2 linked regions of the Tamandua tetradactyla genome follow. The protein of the gene in region 1 interacts with the protein of each later gene in a pairwise test. Links are inferred from orthologs where the notes say so. Each region holds a gene or a part of one and is shown in the gene's direction. Other genes may lie near its edges.

Region 1 (10,465 bases):
CTTAAATGAGAGTCTGGATGAGCAGAGATGAGACCTCTCCCTGGGCTCACACAGCCAGGTAGTTACTCCTTCCCCTCTGGGCACTTCTTGATAAGTTAACCAATGAGACTCTAGACTCAGTAGCACAATACTTTACTAAAACCAGGGTATTACCTGAAAGTTGGTAAACTGAAAAGTGAAACATTTCCCCAAACCCCTCAAGGAAAGCAGGATAAATGATTAGGGTGTTGGCTGTTTTACCAGTTTGTAAGCGGCTGGAATGTGATATAACAGAAATGGAATATCTTTTAAAAGGGTGAAATTATTAAGTTGTAGGTTTACAGTTCTAAGGCAGAAAATGTCCCAAATAAGGCAAGGCTATAGAAAATGTACAGTCTAAGGCATCGAGGGAATGATCCCTAGGTTCATGAAAGCCGATGATATTTGGGGTTTCTCTCTCAACTGGAAAGGCATGTGGCAAACTCGGCAGCCTCTGCAAGCTTTCTCTCCAGGCCTCTTGTTTCATGAAGCTCCCCCAGGGGCGTTTTCCTTCTTCATCTCCAAAGGTCTCTGGCTGCGTGGGCTCTCAAGGTTCTCGTGGCTCCGTTGTGGTTCTAACACTCTTTCCAAAGTGCTTCCTCTAATCAAGACCCACCTGGAATGGGTGGAGTCACATCTCCCTCTAATCAAAGGTTAATACCCACAATTGGGTGTGTCACATCTCCGTGGAATAACCTAATCAAGTTTCCAACCCGCAGTGCTGAATAGGGATTTTTAAAAAAAGGCCACTTCCACAAGATGGAACGGTATTAAAACATGCCTTTTCTAGGGCACATAATCCTTTCAAACCAGCACAACCAGGGACACCTAACTGCATAGCTTTAGGTCTGTTCTCTTGAGGTATGCTGAGGAATCCAGTCTCCTTCCTAGAGGTTATAAGCCTATAACCTAACTTGCGGAGTGAAGTTAGGAAAACCAGAACAATTAAAGGAAGCAGACTGAAAAAGTAAAGTAAAATACCTATTCTAGAGTGCCTTTATTTAACCAAGTCCTAAGAGATGATTTGTATTGCTTCTGAGGGACAGGTAGGGATCAGGGATATTTGAAATTTAATTATACTTCCCCACTATTATGAACAACACCATGCCTCTCTGTTCTACCCTGAAGCAGAGTGGGGAGAAACATAAAGGAAAAACAGGAACCCAATTCTCATTACAATGTACAATACTTGTACAAAAAGTTAATAATAGAATGGTATGTGTGGTAAGAGTGCCTACTGAAAGCTGCAGACTGTAGGTAACAGTAATAACTTGAAGTTATTTCATCAATAGTGGCTGGTGCCATACATATGAGGGTCAATAATAGGGGAGATGAGGGATATAGGATGTTTGGGGTTTTCTTTTTGTGTATCTCTGATAATTTTCTTTTTGGAGTAATAAAAATGGTCTAAAAGTGAATGTGATGATTTCACAACTCAGTGAAGACACTGTGAGATACTGATTATATGATTTGGATAAAATATATGATAAATGAATATATCTCAATAATATGTGACAAAAATAAAGAATTTATGCATGATAAAATTAAATAACATCAATTTATAGTAATCTGCTATGAAAACAGAAAACTATTGAAAAATCCTTAAGATTTCTATTGAATGAATATATACAAGTGGTATGTATAGTCTCTGCCCTTTGAAATCGATATTCATAACAATCTACTTGTTATTCCTATATAAATGAAATCTGGTAATACATTTCCAATGAAAGAAAGCCTGGAGGAAAAAGTACATATTTCAGAAACCTTCCAGCATTTGGTCAAGACTCCTAGTTAAAGATTTTTAATAGTCCTGGAAATTCTGTTATTAAAATGTGAATGGCACTGCTGTCAGGAACTATGGATGACTGATTAATTAAAATCATCAAGAATCCTAGGAGGCAGAAAGAAACTGCCTCTCTTCTTTCATAACTATAGCTTACATCTTGTAGCATATTTGTCTCTTTTTTTGAAGGAACCAAATTACTTTTTTTTTAATTTTGGTCACTTGACCAACTGAGAACAAGCCCATGTTTTTATAGTTTAATTTGATATGTGTGTATATGTATGTATGTGTACATATATAATATACACACTGTTAGTTTGTAAGCTGCCAGTATGCACTATAGCAGAAATGGAACAGCTTTAAAAAGGGAATTTAATAAGTACAGGTTTACTGTTCTAAGGAAATGAAAGTGTCCAAATTAAGGCACCAACAAGAGGTTACCTTACTCAAGAAAGGCCGATGGGTCAGGAACAGCTCTGTCAGCTGGGAAGGCAAGTGGCTGGCATCTATCTGCTGGTCTCTTACTTCTGGGCTCCGTTTCCTTTTCAGCCTCTGTTCCTGTGGGGTTCCTAAGTTTGCTTCTCCAGGGCTGGCTTTAATTTATTAGCTTCCCTTGGCTCTCTCCAGGTTCTAGCTGGCTTAACATCTCATGGTGACATCAGCTGGGCTCCAAGCATCTCCAAACATCCGTGTCTCTGTTCTCAAGTGTGGCTTCTGTCACTTCCGTTATTTCTAACTCTCTCCAAAATGTTTCCTCTTTTAAAGGACTCCAGTAAACCAATCAAGACCCACCTGAAATTGGTGCAGTCACATCTCCACGTAATCAAAAGGTTATACCCACAATTGGGTGTGCCGCATCTTTATGGAGATGATCTAATAGAGTTTCCACCTAGAGTATTGAATTAGGATAAAAGAAACAGCTGTCCCCTCATGATTGGATCAGGACTAAAACAGGGCTTTTCTGTGGTATGTAATACTTTCAAATCAGCATGCATGTGCCGTGCGCACACACACACACACACACGCACACACACATGCCTGCTACTTGTACTTCACCATGAAATCATAAGGTAATTAGGTTTTTTTTGCCCCCTTAACTGGGAAGCAGTGGACAGGAAAGCTAGGCTGACCGGCTGGGTATTCTGCTCTGGGAGGGGAATGATCAAAGAAGAGGAAGAGAAAATGCGGGGATTGCTAAAGCCTGAGATTCACAGAGCACAGAGGTAGGGACTAGGAGTTGGGGACGAGTCAGAAAAGGCAACATAGAAAGTTGAATGAGGATGGGAGTCTGAGGCTAAAAGATGACTTCGGGGTCCAGAACTAATTGTGATGAACTCAAGGCACAGAATGGCATTGGAAGAGGAAAGGGTGGGGACTCTAGGAGTAGGCAAAGCTCTGGAAAGAGTAAGTGGTGGTAGTATAATTTGGGCAGAGAATAAAAAAGTATTTGCAAAGTCCCCTTGGGGGACCCGGGAGAAAGGAGGGAATATTCATATCTCCCACCTAGGGGATTGCTGATGTTCTCACAATCAATTTAATAGGCCAAGCCTCTTTCTTGGGGCTTGCCCCTGTGAAACTTATTCCTACAAAGCAGAAGGTAAGCCTACTTATAATTATGCCCAAGAGTCTCCCCCAGAGAACCTCTTTTGTTGCTCAGATGTGGCCTCTCTCTCTCTCTTTCTCTCTCTAAGCCAAATCGGCAAGTGACCTCATTGCCCTCCTCCCTATGTGGGACATGACTCCCAGGGGGTGTAAATCTCCCTCCCTGGCAATATGGGACAGAACTCCCAGGATGAGCCAGGACCCAGCATCATGAGTTTGAGAAAACCTTCTTGACCAAAAGGGGAAAGAGAGAAATGAGACTAAATGTTTCAGTGGCTGAGAGATTTCAAGTAAGAATTGAGAGGTCATTCTGGAGGTTATTTTTATGCATTATATAGCTATCCCTTTTTTGTTTATGGTGTTTTGAAGGGGCTGGAGGGAAGTACCTGAGACTGTTGAACTGTGGTCCAACAGCCTTGATTCTTATAGACAATTGTATAACTATAGAGCTTTTACAATGTCACTGTGTGATTATGAAAACCTTGTAGCTGATGTTCCCTTTATCCAGGTTATAGGCAAATGAATAAAAAGAAAATAAGGACAAATTAATAGGGGAGATAAGAGGTAAAAAATTTGGGTAGATTGCAATGCCAGTAGTCAATGAGAGGGAGGGGTAAGGGGTATGGGATGTATGGGTTCCCCCCCCCCTTTATTTCTTTTTCTGTAGTGGTGCAAGTTTTCTAAAAATGATCATGGTGATGAATATGCAACTATGTGATGTTGTGAGCCATTGATTGTATACTTTGTATGGACTGTCTGGTGCATAAAGATATCTCAATAAAAATATATTTTTAAAAAAAGAGTAGGTGGTGGTCTTCCTCCCGTCAAAGGTGGGTAGTAGGTGAGCATGTAGCTTTCTAGGGCTCAATCTCAGTTCTTTTGCATAGCCTGTTCCCCTTTGTGGAATGCCCCTCCCATACTCCTTCACCTTGATAACTTTTGCATTTTCAAATCATGCATCCAGGGAGCTAGCTCAAATTTCATCAAACTGGGTTAAGTACTCCTCTTCACAGCATACTTTAGCCTAGCCTCTATCACACTATTATTCTCTTTTCAATTTTCTTTCTCCATTCCTGGACTGGAAACAATTTAATATCGATTTGCTTTCCATATAATCTGTTTACTTCTATGAAGGCAGGAATTTGGGGGCAGTTCTAATCAGTGCAGTATCCCCAACTCATAACAGCACATAGTAGGGACTATCTGTTGATTGAATGGATAACTCTTCAACACATTCCAACATGCCTGGATCATACTTAGCCCTCAAAACTGTGTATTAAAACTGAATTTTCATTTCAAAGGAGAGTGATATGCATTTAAAATTATTTGTCCTATCCTTCCTCACTTCTACCTCCCATTATTGATGTGTACAAACACTATTCTCAACTTTTCTGTTTCCAGCATTTATTAAGTATCTATGTGCTAGTCACTGCTTACCCTTTTCCAAATTCCAAATCCTGTTTCCTGCTTAACTTCTTTCGCTTACTCCTCATCACATATAGAAGCAATTTTCAAACCTTTCAGTTTAGAATAATCCCTAAGGAGTTACTTAAAATGCAGTTTTCTAGGTCTCATCCCCCAGCACCTTTTATTCGGTTTATTTGGGATTAATCCCTGGAATATGCAATTAAGAAGCACCACCCCCTTGCAAATATTGATTTAGATTGTCCATTTGCACGGTCACTGTGAGAACCACTGCCTATAGGATCAAAGCTGACACAAAACGCCCTTAATGAGTGTGTTTCTATGAATCCAGTCTCATTTCCTATCATTCTCCATTTGGAACTTCGTGCTTCAATAGAACCAAACACTACTCCCTTTCCTTAAGGGCCGCGCCGCACTCCCGCAGGCCTCCCACCCCACGTGTCTGGCAGGCCAAGCCCGCTCAGCGTTAAGCAGCTGCTCCCCAGCTCCTTCCCTCTATTTTCTCAGCGCACCGCGGCGAGCCTGCGTCTATGGCCGCACAGCACTCCGATCCCGGCCACGTGCGTCTGCGCAGCTCTCACAGGACTGTGTCGGCCTGTCCGTCCGGAAGCTGCTCTTCCAGATTCTGCACAGCCGAGTCATAACCTTCTTGAGGGCAGAGACTGTGGTTCCTGTCACCTTCTCCGTCCTCAGCATCGTGCCTGCTTCACGGGACAAGCCGAAGCTTTGGGTGAGGTGACCGTCCTAAGTCACACAGCTGCTACACTGCAGTCAAAAGCTTCACATTTCAGTGTCAGAGCTCATTCCCAGGTGACCTTTTCCGCGATCTAAAGAAGCCATTTCCATTGCTTTATTCCTCCCACGTGGCAAGTGACATTTGATTTTCTGCTGTGAAGTCCCACAGGGGCAGGTCTTACCTCCCTCAGAGCATAATTCGTCTCCGTCTTTGCGTCCCCACAGGACCTAGCAGAGTAGACCGAAAATACATATTTGTTCAACGAATGGCGGAACAGCTATTTACATAGCAGGCCAGACTACGCAGGACAGACCTCAAACCGACACAACCCCCGACTCCTTTCTTTCTTCACCCCCGTCCGTTTTCGAGACGTCTCCGCAGCCCAGCTCCACTCGGCGCGCCCGTGGGCGACGTCACAACCCGGCCCTGGAACTACCAGTCCCAGAATGCCGAGCGAGGGGGCGGGCCTTCCGGGACCTGCCGCGTGATTGGCGCCCGGAGGCTTTCCTTCCGGCGGGCCGGCCCCGGAAGGCGGCGTTCGGGAAGTGCCCGACGTGAGGCCCGTGTTGGGTGGGTCCCAGCGGGGAGGGCTTTACGAGGGAGCCCGGGGGCCCCCCACCCTCCGAGGAGATGGATGAGGACGGGCTTCCTCTCATGGGGTCGGGCCTAGACCTGACCAAGGTTTGTAAAACACAGAGCTGAACTTCCGGCGCCCGGGGAGGCGGATGGGGAGGGAGCCCGGCCCCGGGCAGAAGCCCCCGCCCGCAGGCCGCACCGCCCCTGGCCCCAGCCTCGGCCTCTGCCGGCCTGGGGAGGCACAGCCCCGCAGCCCGCCTCGCAGTGGGGCCCCCGACCCCACGAAGCGGATGGGGTCGCTCCCCCAGCCCCCGCTTCCCGGGTCGCCCGAGGGCCCCTTGAGCTCGGCGCCGGACGTTCTTTCTGTCCGAGGTACTGAGACTCCAGAGCCCGTTCCGCCACTTGCCCGCAGCCTCTGTCCTCTTCGGACCCCCGCCCCGCTGTCCGGGGAAACTGAGGAAGCGGCTCTGAGGGCTCCAGGGGGTGCCTGCGAAGGCGTGGCCGGCGCCTCACGCCGCGTCCTGTTTGTCTCCGCGCCACGCAGGTGCCCGCTATCCAGCAGAAAAGAACGGTGGCGTTTCTGAATCAGTTTGTGGTGCACACAGTCCAGTTCCTCAACCGCTTTTCCACGGTGTGTGAGGAGGTAGGTCCTGTGGCGGCTCCTGGAGTAGAGTTCCGAGTGGCCCGGAGAGACCCTCGAGCCGTCTCGGGTTCGGCCGATGCTGCCCCGCGCCCCTGCGGACCTGCGTGCTCAGCGCCCGGGTCCGATGGCTCGGGCGGGTTGACTGCGACTAAAGCGAGCAAGAGGACTTCCCCGGGGCCGCTGTTGAAAACATCCTTGATAGATGGGTTCACCTTACCCCGAAGGTTCACATTTTTAGGTGCACAGTGTTTCAGTTTATATTAAAATCATTTTACATTCCTTGATCCAAAATATGATTAGGAGAGGTAGCCTAGAAACATAACTTTAGCTTCCAGTATCATTATGCAAATAAAGGTACTTGATGCAAATGACTCATGCAGTGAGGATTAAGTACCAGATGAAGGATTAGATACCAGATCCAGAAAAGCCAAAAAAAGGGAAACGGGTTGAAATCGGGTTTAGGAAAGAACAGAAGAAATGAGAAGTGGGTAAATCATGGATCTTAGATAATTCACAAGTGAGACAACTGAGTAAACAGTATCGAGTTCACTCTATTTTATGTATAACCTTAGCAAGTGGAATTTTTGTTAGATGTGTTATTAATAAAAGTTGTATGGACACAGGAAGACAATGTTCACTAATATGAGTCCAGCTACTGTGTTTGTCTGCTTATCAAAATCTTCTGCCTTCTCACCGAGACAAATAAAAATGCAGCCTGAGCTCATTCATAGCGTAAGGGGATCAATTCAATATACTTTGATAACAGGCGGAAAGACTAGGTGTTTGCTTCCATGAACTTAATCTTGTAATGCTGCCTGTCTAAACGGGATATAGAATTCACTGAATAAAAAACAGTAAGCTGAGAATTTAGCCCTTCACTTTTCACACCAGGTGGGATAGAGAGGTTTCTGGGAAGGGCACATCCGAGGATTGTTTGCGGAAAGGAGCAAATAGTCCATCTCCTTATTCCTCATCACCAAATTAAGAACTAAAACAGACGATGATAACAAAACAAGCACATACACCATTGAAATCAAGTTGATTGAGCTGCTCTAAGGCAGGGATAGCCCCTCACTTTTGTAGCACCTAACAGTTACCACCGCCTGAAGAGTGCTATTTACTGACATTTAGATCAAAAGTAATAATGATCTCTTGATTGAATGCTTATGAATTGTCAAAGCCTTGTGGTGTAAAAGCCTCATGATTCACTTTTTTTGAAAAATACCTTTTTTAAACCAATTTTTAGTTGTAAAATACAGTATATATATATGTGTATATATGCACACACACACAAGGAAAAGAAAGAAAACAAGCAAAAATTTGTGACGCACACTTCAACAAGCAGCTACAGAACAGTTCCCAGAGTTTGTCATGGGCTAAATTCAGATTTTTCCTTCTAGCTGCTCCAAGACACTGGCAGCTTTATCAGTGTCATAATATTGGAATCATACAGTATCCTTTTGTGTCTGACTTATTTCACTCAGCATATGTTTTGGGACACTTTTGTCTAAATGCTACATAATATTCCATAGTGTGTATATACCATATTTTGTTTATGCACTCATCTGTTGATGGATGCCTGGATTGTTTCCATCTCTTGACAATTGTGAATAGTGCCTGTTCTAGTTTGCTAGCTGCTGGAATGCAACACACCAGAGACGGATTGGCTTTTAATAAAAGGGGATTTATTTTGTTGGTTCTTCAGAGGAAAAGCAGCTAACTTTCCACTGAGGTTCGTTCTTACGTGGAAGGCACAGGATAGTCTCTGCTGGTCTTCACTCCAGGCTCCTGGGGTCCAACAATTTTCCCCAGGGTGACTTCTTTCTGCATCTCCAAAGGCCTGGGCTGAGCTGTAAGTGCTGAGATGAGGAATGCCGAGCTGCTTAGCTGTGCCACGTTGTGATCTCTCATTTAAGCACCAGCCAATTAAGTCAAACGTCACTCATTGCAGCAGACACGCCTCCTAGCCAACTGCAGATGTAATTAGCAACAGATGAGGTTCACGTACCATTGGCTTATGGCAGCAACAAGACTAGGTATGCTCACCTGGCCAAGTTGACAACTGAATCTAACTAACACAATGCCTCTGTGAACATCAGTGTGCAAATGTTTGTTTGTGTCACTGCCCTCAACTCTTCTGGGTATATAGCGAGTAGTGGTATTGCCGGGTCATAGGGCAACTCAATATTTAGTTTTCTGAGGAATCGCCAAACTGATTTCCACAGCAGCTTAACCATTTTACATTCCTACCGACAGTGAATAAGTGTTCCAGTTTCTCTGCATCCTCTCCAGCATTTGTAATTTCCTGTTGTTTAATACCAGCCATTCTTACAGATGTGAGGTATCTTATTGTTGTCTTAATTTGCATTTCTCTTACAGCCAGTGAGGATGAGTAGCTCTTCATGTGTATTTTACCCATCTGTATTTGCTCTTCAGGAAAGTACCTATCCATTTCCTCTGCCCATTTTATAATTGAGTTGTTTGTTCTTTTGTTGGTGAGCTGTATAATTTCTTTTTGTACAGAGGATATCAAGCCGTTATCTGATATGTGGTTTCCAAATATTTTCTCCCATTGAGTTGACTGCCTCTTCACCTTTTTAACAAAATCCTTTGGAGCACAGAAGCTCTTAAACTTAAGGCATTCCTGTTTGTCTGCTTTTTCTTTCACAGCTTGTGCTTTAGGTGTAAGGTTTAAGAACTGCCTCCTGTTACCAGATCTTGAATATGTTTCACTACATTTTTTTCCAAGAAATTTTATGGTACTGGCTCTTACATTTGATCCATTTTGAATTAATTTTTGTATAGGATGTAAGGTAAGGGTCCTCTTTCATTCTTTTGGCCTTTGAAATCCAGTTCTCCCATGCCCATTTATTGAATAAATTATTCTTTCAATCTCTGTACTCTCAGTTCTGTTTCACTGGTCAGCCCATTACAGGTTTTTGTATATTAATCTTCTGGCTTGCCACCTTGCTGAATTTTTTTATTAGCTCAAGTAATTTTACTGTAGATTTCTCAAGTTTTTTAAGTATAGATAGGATCATGTCTTCTGCAAATAATGAATAAAAACCATCAATTTTATTAATTTTCTCAAAGAACCAACTTTTAATTTTGTCGAGTCTTTCTATTGTTTATTGTTCTCCAGTTTGTTTATTTCTGCTTTAGTCTCTATTATTTCTCTTCTTTTATTTGCTTTGGGGTTAGTTTGCTGTTCTTTCTATAAATTGTCCAGGTAAGCAGTTAAATTCTCAAGTTTTGCCCATGCTTGTTTTTTAATATAGGCATTTAGGGCATGGAGTTGTTACCATTACAGTAGCAGGTAGATGCAGGGCTGATACTGGACTAGAGCAGCCATCACGAATAGAGCTGAGACTAGGCTGGAATAACCATCACAACAGTACAATAAATAAAGCTGAGATTAGTTTCAGGTATTAACTTCTGGGTATGCTACAATATGCTAGAAGGAAAAAAAAAACTATAGTGAGTCAATAATCATGAACATTTGTTAATTCTTAATTTCTCAGTTACAATGCCTCACTTTTGTTTGTAATCATTCCTCAATCTTGAGGGCTTTCTGGGCAACAATCGTTCTGACTTTTCCATGCTGAAAAAGGGCCTCAAAGTTATGGGTTAGAATAATAAAACTGGTTATCATTCTTGGAGTACCTCTGGCTGGCATAGGAAC
Region 2 (11,133 bases), on another chromosome or scaffold:
CTTTAAAACCTCTTATAAAGCCATAGTACTGGTACTGCATGGTACTGGCACAAAGACAGAAGCATTGACCAATGGAATAGAATTGAGAGTACAGAAATAGACCACCAAATCTATGGTCAACTGCTTTTTGATAAGGCCCCCAAATCCACTGAAATGGAACAAAAGAGTCTTTTCAATAATTGGGCATGGAAGAACTGGATATCAATAGCCAAAAGAATGAAAGAGGACCCCTACCTTACACCCTACACAAAAATTAATGCAAAGTGGATCAAACACCTAAATATAAGAACTTCTAGAAGAAAATTGAGGGAAACTTCTTCAAGATCTAGTAATAAGAGGTAGCTTCCTAAACTTTACACCCAAAGCACAAGCAACAAAAGAAAACATAGATAAATGGGAAATCCTCAAAATTAAGTGCTTCTGCATCTCAAAAGACTTTGTCAAAAAGGTGAAGAGTCAGCCAATTCAATGGGAGAAAATATTTGGAAATCACATATCATACAAAGGCTTGATTTCCCTGTATGTACAAAGAAATCATACAACTCAACAACAGAAGAACAAACAACCCAATTATAAAATGGACTAAAGATATAAATAGGCATTTTTCTGAAGAGCAAATACAGATGGCTCAAAAGCACATGAAGAGATGCCCATTTTTATTGGCTATAAGGTAAATGCAGATCAAGACTACAATGAGATACCACCTCATGCCTATAAGAATGACTGCATTAAACAAACAGGAAACTATATATGTTGGAGAGGATGTGGAGAAACTGGGGCACTTATGCACTGCTGGTGGGAATGTATAATGGTGCAGCCATTATGGAAGACTGTTCAGTGGTTTCTTAGGAAACTAAATATCGAGTTGCCCTATGACCCACCAATAGAACTACTTGATATATACCCATAAGAACTGAAAGCAATGACACAAAAAACATTTGCACACCGATGCTCATAGCAGAATTATTCACATTCATGAAAAGATAGAAACAAACCAAAGGCCCAGCAACATTTTGTTGAGTAGATCAACAAAATGTTATATATATGTACAATGGAATATTATGCAGCAGTAAGACAAAATGACATTCTGAAGCACATGACAAGATACATGAGCCTTGAGGACATAATGCTGAGTGAAATTAGCCAGACACAAAAGGATAGATAGTGTATGATTACACTTTTATGACCAGAATAAAGGACAAATTAGAGGCTTATAATACAGAATATGGGGGGCTTGGAGATACATAGAAGCTAGAGATGGGTGAACGTTTAGCTAATGAGGTTGATCTCCAATGTAATGGAATAGAAGGTGGTTCTCTAGTGGGTCTATATGTAATATTATCATATTGAAGATAAACAAGATTGAAAGGGGTTGTATAGACCCACGTGTCCCACTAATTAACACTAGAAATATGAATTAGTTCTTGCAATAATTACTTCAGAGTTATGATTCTTGTACAAAGAGTGTTTAAGTCCAGGGTATGGGGGAAAACTGCTACTTTGTGCTACAGATTACGTTCAAAAGGAAATCATCAGTACTACCACAACAACAGCAGAGGTAAATAATGGGGGGAGGAACAAGACTTAAGAGGAGGTTTAGATTTCTTATTTGATGAGGGTGTGTTTATTGGTTTTCTTTACTTTGGGAACAATGAAATTTATCTAAAATTGAGAATGTTGATCGACCATGGACTTTGGACCTTCTACATGATGCCCGATGAATGCAGGTGGCTGAAGGATGCACTGATGGAGAAGTGGATTGGCGATCAATGGTGTATACTTATGAATGAAGGTTGTGCTGTTACAAAAAGGAACAAAGTCTTGAGGCATGCAACAATGTGAATGAACATGTGGGACATTTGGTGAGACAAAATAAGCCAGAAACAAAAGAATAAGAATGGTATGGTCACCTTTAGTAAATGTTTATAAGAACACAGGGGCCTAGATTATAAGCTTTAGAGCAGACACATTAAGTCCAGAGTGGTGATTATTATTTCTGTATTTTAAGAGGCTGTTTTATATATATAACCTGATGTTTAGAGATAAGAAAGAAGTTGAACAGATTTGGGTTAAAGTAATTTAGAAAATAGGGGTAAGGAAGACAGTGTTTATATTTTAGATGCACACATAGTCTTTGAGACCAATGGAACCGAAATTTTATGTAGGGCATAATCTAATTCAACCGATCTGTATAACTCATTTCAACAATTAAAAAACCAGGAGCCCAGAATAAGAAAGAGGGCCTATAATCTTGTACAGAATATTGTAATGCCTGGATACATCCTAGAGTATATTAAGCAGATAATCAAAAAGTACTGGTAAAGTCCCCTGAAGGAGGGAAGAAAGAATATGAAACTATTAAATCTTACCATCAGGGAGTGTCATTATACTGTGTCAAATTTTAGGGACACCCAACTCAATAGACCAAGCCCTCGATCATGAGGCTTACTCTTGTGAAGCTTAGGTATGTAGCAGAGAAGGTTAGACTACCTATAGGCATGCTAAGAGTTACTACTGGAGGACCTCTTTTGTTGCTCAGATGTGGCCTCACTTTCTCTAAGCAAGTGAAATCATTACCTTCCCCTCTACATGGGATATGACATTCAGGAGTGAAAGTCTCCCTGGCAATGTGGGAGATGACTCCCAGGGATGAATCTGGTCCTGGCATGATGTGATCAACAATCCCATGCTGACCAAAAGGGGGGAAAGAAGTGTAAAATATCAGTGGTAGAAAGAATTCAAATAGAGTCGAGAGACTACTCTGGAGGTTGCTCTTATGCAAGCTTCAGTTAGACCTTGCTACCTATCATAACCTGTCAACCTCCAACCAAGGCTATTCCAGCCAATCCTTAAGAACACCTATGGCAATATATAAGATTCCACAAGGGGTCCATGCACTAGAGTAACTTTCCATAAACCTACAACCTCCAGATGGGTCCCTGGTCCAGATAAGTCCTGAAACCTAGAGGGCCCAGCCTCTCCAGAACATCAGATAGTTCCATCTCCCTACCCCATATTAGTAACAGACCCTTCCAATATGAAAAAGTTAGAATGACCATAACCCAAACAACCCTAAAGAGAGGGTTGGAAAGATTAAAGGTAATGGTGGAGTTATACAGAGAAGATAGGATTTAACAAATGAATACGAATGCTGAATCATTAAATTGATGTCTCTTTTAGTCTCCAGTATTATAGAGTAGCTAGAAGTAAAAACCTAAAATTGTGGAATCGTAACCCATGTTAAACTCTGAAACATGTTTTACAACTAATTGTGGTGCTGTGCTTTGAATTTTATAGCTTTTTTGTATATATGTTATTTTTCACAAAAAAGGAAAAATAATCAATTGTGATAATAAAACAAATATTTAAGCCTTCTAGCCTCCTATATTCTGGAGTAGCTAGAAGGAAAAATTTGAGGGGATCGTATGGTAGCCCATGGCAAACTCTGGAATCTGACCTGTAACTACTTGTTGAGGAATGCTTTGAAAACTATTGCTTTTTTATTTCTTTGTATATATGTTATACTACACAATAAAAAAGTTAAAAAAAAATAAATACTAGGGCTGAAAACCATAATAACTAAAATTAAAAATTCCTCAGAGTGGTTCAACAGCAGATTGGAGCTGGCAGAAGAAAAAAACAGTGAACTTGAAGATGTGACAATTAATATTGTACAATCTAAGGAGCAGAAACAAAGAAAACTGAACAAAGCCTAAGAGTCCAGTAGGAGGCCATCAAACATACCAATTGTGCCAGTTTGAAAATGTTGTGTACCCCAGAAAAACCATGTTATTTAATATGGTTGGGTGTGATCTTTTTTATTAAGTTGTTTCCATGGAGATGTGATCCACACAATTGTGGGTGGGATGCTTTGACTATGTGGTTTCCATGGAGATGTACTCCACCCATTCAAGGTGGCGTGCTCACTGCAGTCCTCTAAGCAGGAACCATTTTGGGAAAAGCTTCAAAGCCAATAGACAAAGACGTTTGGAGATGCAGAAAGAAAATGCCCCTGGCTAAGTCATTTGAAACCAAAAGCTGAACGGCCAGCAGATGTCAGCCACACGTCTTCCCAGATCAGCCTTTCTTGAGTCAAGTTACCTTTCTCTGGATACCTTAGTTCATCTCTTTTTTTATGGCCTTAGGACTATAAACTTGTAACTTAATAAATTCTCTTTATAATAGCCAACCCATTTCTGGCACATTGCATTAACAAACTAAAACATCACTATAAGTATTATGGGAATCACAGAAGGAGAAAAAGAGAGGAGGCAGAAAGAACATTCAAGAAACTTCCCAAATTTAATGAGAGACAATCACAATGAACTTCAAACAGGATAAACCCAAAGAGAGCCACAAGACACACTGTAATTAAATTGCTGAATGCCAAAGGAAAAAAAGGAGGATCCTTAAAGCTGCAACAGAGAGGTAATATATCATGTACAAGGCTCCCTCAGTAAGATTAAGTACCAATTTCTAATCAGAAACCATTGGGGTCAAAAAGCAAGGGGATAACAAAGTTCAGTAAAAAAAAAAAAAAGTTGCCAGCTAAGGATTCTATACCTAGCAATTGAATTGCTATATCTAGCAATTCAAAACTTAATACAAACTATGCCCTTGTGCCAGTACAAAACAGTGTTGTACTGGCACAAGGACATGCCTATTGAGCACTAGAATAAAATTGAGTTCAGAAGTAAATCCACACATGACAGGGGTGTCAAGTCCACTTAATGGGGAAAGAATAGTCTCTTCATAAATGGTACTGGAACAACTGGACAATGTTTGATAAGTGCTACCTGCAGTTGCATATTAGTCTAACCTACATATATGGAAAGCTGGGGGGGGGTGCTCTTAGAACATTTGTTAAGTGTCAGGTGACTGCAGCCCACAGATGAGCAGATTGAGGTCCTTCAATCCTGTACCACTCACACCCAGGTCCCACAATCTACGTTAATTAACTAACGTGCAGAAACATTAATTTAACCTCCAGGCATGGCCAAGAGGCAGCCCTAGAAGGGGTTGGGGTGGCTCTGCCACCCTCTAATCCTCATCCCTCTCCCAGCCCTGCCGGTGATCTCCTCCTTGGAGCTCCACCTGCCTCAGGCCCCAGGTGACCACCTCCTGCACCACATGAAGGAGGACACGCTCCACAACCTGCTGAAGCACTGCACCACTGCCCAGGAGTCTGACCCCAGGCAGCTACTTGCCGGGTTTCCAGAGGGAAGCTCATGGGGGCCAAGTGGGGAGCCAAGGGCTTTCTGTTCGTAGCCCCTCTCTCCAGACCCAGCATGGGGGTGTCCGGGACCCTGTGGCCGACGCTGATGGGGGGATGCATGGCAGGGGGACCATGCACCAGGTGAACGTCAGGACCCCCAGGCACGCGCCTGGCTTGTGGAAACTTTGGACCCCATTTCCCTTCCTCTGCATGCCCACTGGATGATGTCTCGCGCCTGACTCTCTAGCCCTGCACCAGGGCTCGGCCTTCTGACTGAACTTCCAATTCGGGTGTTCCTTCGTCCCTCCCGCGTTCCTCTGCTTCCTCTGCTCCTGCCGAGAGGCAGCGCCATCAGAGCTTGTGGTTTAAAGACTGATAAGGTGAGACAGGTACATTCTGGCCTGTATGGTCCGGGCAGAACACTCGTCATGTCTGAGCCGTGCTGAAGTCCAGAATTTTCACGCACGGAATGAAGATACCACCCACGAGGAAGAATATGGGCAGAGAGCTGCGCACATGCACAGTAGTGCAACACCAGCGTGGAAGATTGGCGCGGCCGGCAGTAGTGTCCATGCGCAGGACACTGACTGTCAACTGGCCAGTGCTGGCTCGGCCCTCGCGCAGGCCCGGAACCAACACCCTCGGCTCCTGAGGCTGCACTGCGCAGGCGTGCTGCGGCCGTCCCGCCCCCACGAGGGTGGGGCCCAATCATCACGTGAGGCACCAACGGGTAGGACGGAAATGGCGGAAATGGCGGGAAGGTCGGGGCCTTCGAGCGCGGAGCCCACAGGAGCCGTGGACAGCGTGGAGCCAGCTGGAGGTAGTGGTGTGGAGGCGGCGAGGCCCTCCTTGGGAACTGGGCTTGGGAAGGGGCTCGGGGCACCAGGCGCCGGCGGAGGGGCGGGAGGCATCCCCTGCTCTCTCCAGATGGAAGCCACGTTTGTGGGAAGCCTCGGCTGTTCCACAAATGGGAGGCACATTTACCCACATTCCTCCCACCTGGATTTAACTCATTATTTGATCCAGATTTTGCTCAAGACGTCGTTTCATTTCTTTCCTAAGAATTTCCGTTCGTACCTCTTAAAATAAAGAACTCTCTCTTCTCCTGCCGCACTTAAGGGAATGAATAATTCCCGTTATCTTCATCTCACAACCAACCGGTATCCAAATTCTCCTCTTTATCCCATAGTGGCTCTTACACGTGGATTTCCTCCCACGGAGTCCCTCTTTTCTTCCTGACACTGACCAGAGTGACGGCACTCCCCTTGTCCAGGGAAAGAGGGACATGGCAGCCCCTTTAATTTGTTCAGAAGTTCAGAGATCGCAGCCCAGCAGAGTAGAGAATTGAAAACTTCTCCCCCTGCTATTGGGTGTTTTGTGGGGATTTCAGATGTATGTAACATGGAATTGTGCAGTGACTCCCACATGAGGTCACTTGTTGACCCTGTCAGGTTGGCTCGCGCTCCACCCGTTCAGGCACATTGAGGTGCTTTGTCAATGCAGGTGGCGGTCGCTCCCTCCGAACTTGCTTACAACAGAGCCTGCTTCGCACATTTACACATAAATATTTGAACAGTGAGGTGAGTTTAGCACAAAGCTGGCTTAGGATACAGCATGGCACCCTACCACAGCCCTCCTCTAAGGACAACAGAAAAGAAACAAGACAGATGCATGTATATCCCTTTTATTATGCAGCTGCAGTGATTGCCACTGTCCTAAAGAAGACTTTTGGTATTTCTCTTTCCAGTTCCTCAAATAAGCTGACATATTTGCATGAAGATTTAATCAACTTTACCATCAATGGAAGAAATTTAAAAGAAAGTGAGATTCTGTTTTCAGTTCATCAGATTGTTTCAAAGAGAGCAGGGGTGCTATCTAGTGTCACAGGTCTTCACATACAAGCTGGTGGGAAAAACAGTAGGTAAAGACTATGCAGTAGCCCGTCTGGTAAAATTTTTAGCATTTAAATAACTTGTTTGCCTTTTAGTCACTGTGTTAGTCAGGTTTCTCTTGAGAAAGTCACCTTCCTAGGGATCACACAAGACACAGATCCATGTACCAAAAACAGTGCTGGAGCCTTGCTCTTCATAGCAAAACATGGGAATGGAATGGCTAAATCCAAGTATACACATGCACACCATGAAATACCTGGGCATTAGATTTCTAAAATGAGGAAGAAACATAATTAAAGTCAAATGTATTGGACTTAATTTTTACATTATATATATTTATAATGGATACAGGAAGTTAAAAGATATGAGAAGAAAGCAAGTTGGAAAATTGTGTTAATTGTACCCCAGTTTCCATTTCACAGGAAAGTGTCTGCTGAGACCTATGTTCCTAATTGATGACTCTGGGAAGGGGATTTGGATTTGCGGGTGTGTGTGCAGAAGTGGAGGGACATTTTCAATGTCATTGTTTGATTTTTCTGTTAGGGAAATGTGGGTAGTACTTGTGGAATTTTAAAGTGGAAAGGAGAAAGAGAAATTTTTTAATGGTATTTAAAGATCAGATATTAATAACACTGTTAATTTCTTGGATTTGATTGTTGTATTGTAGTTTCCACATAGGAAAATGTTCTTGACCTTCAGAACTTCACAGTGGAGTATTAAAGGGTAATGGGACATTGTGTGTGCATCTTATTGTCAAAGATTCAAAAATATTAGCCAGTGAGAAATTGAGGTGAAGGGTATAAAGGATCTCTGTGTCCTACTTCTGCAATTTTCATATAAATTTGAAATTATTTCAAAATAAAAAGTTAAAAGGAGAGGGCTCATACTGTACAAGTGTTTGGTTTTAATTTTTTTAATTGTAGTAACATATAATTAACATAAAATTTGCCCTGTTAACCTCTTATAAGTGTACAATCCAATGGCAGTAATTATTCTTATAATGTATTACCATCACTACCATCCATGGGCAAACCTTGTCAACACCCCAAATGCGAACTCTGTACCCATTAAGAATAACCTCCAATTTCCCTTCCTCTATCCCCTAGTAATCTGTATTTGATTTTCTGTCTCCATGAATTTGCTTATTCCAGATATTTCATGTAAGTGGATCATACAATATTTGCCCTTTTGTGTCTGTCTTATTTTACTTAGCATAATATTTTCAAGGTTCAACCATGGCATGTATAAGAAACTTTATTCCTTTTTATGGTTGAATAATATTCCATCAACTGTCTATACCACTTTTGTTTATCCATTCATCTATCAACACTTGGGCTGTTTCCATCTTTTGTCTTTTTTGAATAATGCTGCTATTATTCACAACATAATATTAAAATTACTGCCATATTCAACATATACATTGGTAAATGTTTATACATTTATGGAACAGGTAAATATCTGAGTCCTTGTTTTTGATTCTTTTGGATATATACCTAGAAGTGGAATTTCTGGGTCATATTTTAACTTTTTGAGGATCTGACAAACTGTTTTCAACAATGGCTGCAGTGTTTCACGTTCCTACCAGCAATGCAGGAAGGTTCAAATTTTTTTACATCCTTGTTGCACATCCAACACTTCTTATTTTTCATGTTTTGAATTCTAGCCATCCTACTGGGTGTATCTCCTTGTGGTTTTGATTTGCATTTACATAATGATTAATGATGTTGGGTACCTTTTCATGTTCTTGTTGGCCATTTTTATATCTTCTTTGGAAAATGTCTATTCCAGCCCTTTGCCCTTTTTTCAACTGGGATGTTTGCCTTTTTGTTAAGTTGTAGTTGTACAGTATTTGCAACTAATTTCTTCTGTTCTTTAGACTGTTTTCACTTTCTTGATAATGTCCTTTGATGCACAGAGGTTTTTAATTTTGATGAAGTCTGTTTTATGTATTTTTTTTTCTTTTGTTCCTTGTGCTTTTGGTGTCACACCTAAGAAATTATTGCCATATTCAAGGTCACAAAGATTTTCCCCTATGTTTTTTTCTAAGAGTTTTCTGGTTTTAGCTCATATATTTAGGTCCTTGATACATTTTGAGTTAAATTTTATATATGGTGTAAAGTAGGGATTCTTTTTTTATTTTTTTTTATTTGTACATCCAGATTTCCCAGCACCATTTGTTGAAAAGATTATTATATCCCCATTGAATATATTTGGCATCCTTGTCCAAAATCAGTTGGTCATAAATGTGTGGGTTTAATTCTGGCCTTTGAATTCTATTGCATTTGTCAATATGTCTGTAGTTATGCCAGTACTATACTGTTTTGAATACTGTAGCTTTGTAGTAAGTTTTGAAATCAGGAAATGTGTGTTCTATGACTTTGTTCTTCTTTTTGAAGACTGGCTCTTCTGAGTCCCTTGCTCTTCCATGTGAATTTTGGATTTGTCTCTTACATCCCTTTTAATCTGTTAGGATCATCCTTTTGCTCTTTTTTCTCCTTCAAATTTATTTGTTTAGAAAAAGACAGATAGTTTGCTCTGTGACATTTCTCATAGTTCTGCATGCTGCTAATTGCATTCCCATATGTCATTTAACACATTCCTCATCCCTGTCTTCATGGAACTGGTATTCAGATCTACTGGCTTAATGACTTGTAGGTTTCATTTATTTGGCAGTAATCCTTAATGGGTATTTCACAATGTTTGGTTATTTTTATTGTAAAGTTATTGGCCATTAATAATCACTGTCTAGATCTAATCATTCATTAAGAATTTTAAAATCAGTATCTATATTGATCTTTTAAAATTTGTTAATGAGATGTTTCAGAGAGGTTTTATAATCATTTTTTATTTATATGGGAAAGCTATTTATATATATATTATCTTATTAAATTTCCTTCCTAGTCCTTATGATGCTTTATATGGTTTTCTAGAACTTTCTAATTGACATGTCATTGCTAGTTTTAGTATTTTTGACTCCTTGTTTCCATTTTTTTATTCCCCCCGCCCCCACATTTTTTCTTGCATTATTACATTAGTAAGCTTTGAACAACCCTGACTGGCATCAGCAGTGAGGTGCTGTCATCTTTCCTTGACTCTGAGTTTTATTTAGGGGATATCTGTGGTATCATTTCACCCTTTGGGGAATAGCTGACCATTAAGGGCCCCTGAATCATCTTTGGTGCCCTGACCACTTCAGGACTTTGGCTGGACACCTGTCCTCAGATTACCTTAACCCCCACCCAGAGCTGTCTGACCTGCATTCAGGCCTCTTACTCTTAATAGATTCTGAATTTTTAAATTTTGTTTCCACAGGGCAGGCCAAGTCCTCAAGGAAAATTGAAGACTTGATGGAAATGGTGAAAAAACTACAGAAAGGTCATGTGTCTCCTTTGTTCTTTTGTGTCTGAGGCACATCCTGGGGCTTGGGAACAGGCAGACATAGATTCAATCCAGGCCCCACATTTCACGGTGTTGGGAAATTATCCCATTCTCTTTCTCTTTCTTTCAAAATTTAATTTTTTGAACTAACAATATGACCCCATGGCTCAAAATTAAAGAACTCTGTTGCTGACCACCTCTTTAGTTCTCACTACATTCGGAATGAAACCAAGAAGACTTCATATTCTATCCCTTCCTTCCACCTCACTTCCTGCTATTTTCTTCTTGCTCACTGAGTTCCCTCTGGCACATTCCCACCTCAGGGAGGGTCTTCCTATTTACTCTCCCCATGCCCCTTACCAGAGAGCTACTCCCCTCAGTTGATCTGGGTCCTCAGAGGCTTCCTGTATCTGAAAGTTGCCCACTCCCACTTTTCAACCACTTGCCTCACTTTATTCCTCCTAATAGTAGTTACCACCATGTATTTTATGTCTGTTTTCTGAAACCCTTACCCAGAATATAAGCCCCTTGAGGGGTATACACAGTGTCTGTTCACAGGTGAATGAAAGCAGCAGAGACATAGGGCTGGTACCCTCCCACCTCTGCTTGTTCTGTACAGCTGGTCACCTGTCACCTCTGGCTCAGTCT

What was found.
Region 2: the proteins of WASHC3 (region 1) and SYCE1 interact in binary tests that used the Homo sapiens proteins (3 or more experiments, as listed by UniProt). The two-hybrid records come from large-scale screens. The link is inferred for Tamandua tetradactyla from reciprocal best matches to the Homo sapiens genes WASHC3 and SYCE1.

Annotation. Positions count from the first base shown.
Region 1 is NC_135333.1:172,201,988-172,212,452, reverse strand, and holds the start of WASHC3 (WASH complex subunit 3), read left to right. Parts: upstream 1-6,059; 5' UTR 6,060-6,194; coding exon 6,195-6,245; intron 6,246-6,684; coding exon 6,685-6,783; intron 6,784-10,465. UniProt on the Homo sapiens protein: Acts as a component of the WASH core complex that functions as a nucleation-promoting factor (NPF) at the surface of endosomes, where it recruits and activates the Arp2/3 complex to induce actin polymerization, playing a key role in the fission of tubules that serve as transport intermediates during endosome sorting.
Region 2 is NC_135339.1:96,810,292-96,821,424, forward strand, and holds the start of SYCE1 (synaptonemal complex central element protein 1), read left to right. Parts: upstream 1-5,898; 5' UTR 5,899-5,956; coding exon 5,957-6,035; intron 6,036-10,419; coding exon 10,420-10,482; intron 10,483-11,133. UniProt on the Homo sapiens protein: Major component of the transverse central element of synaptonemal complexes (SCS), formed between homologous chromosomes during meiotic prophase. Requires SYCP1 in order to be incorporated into the central element.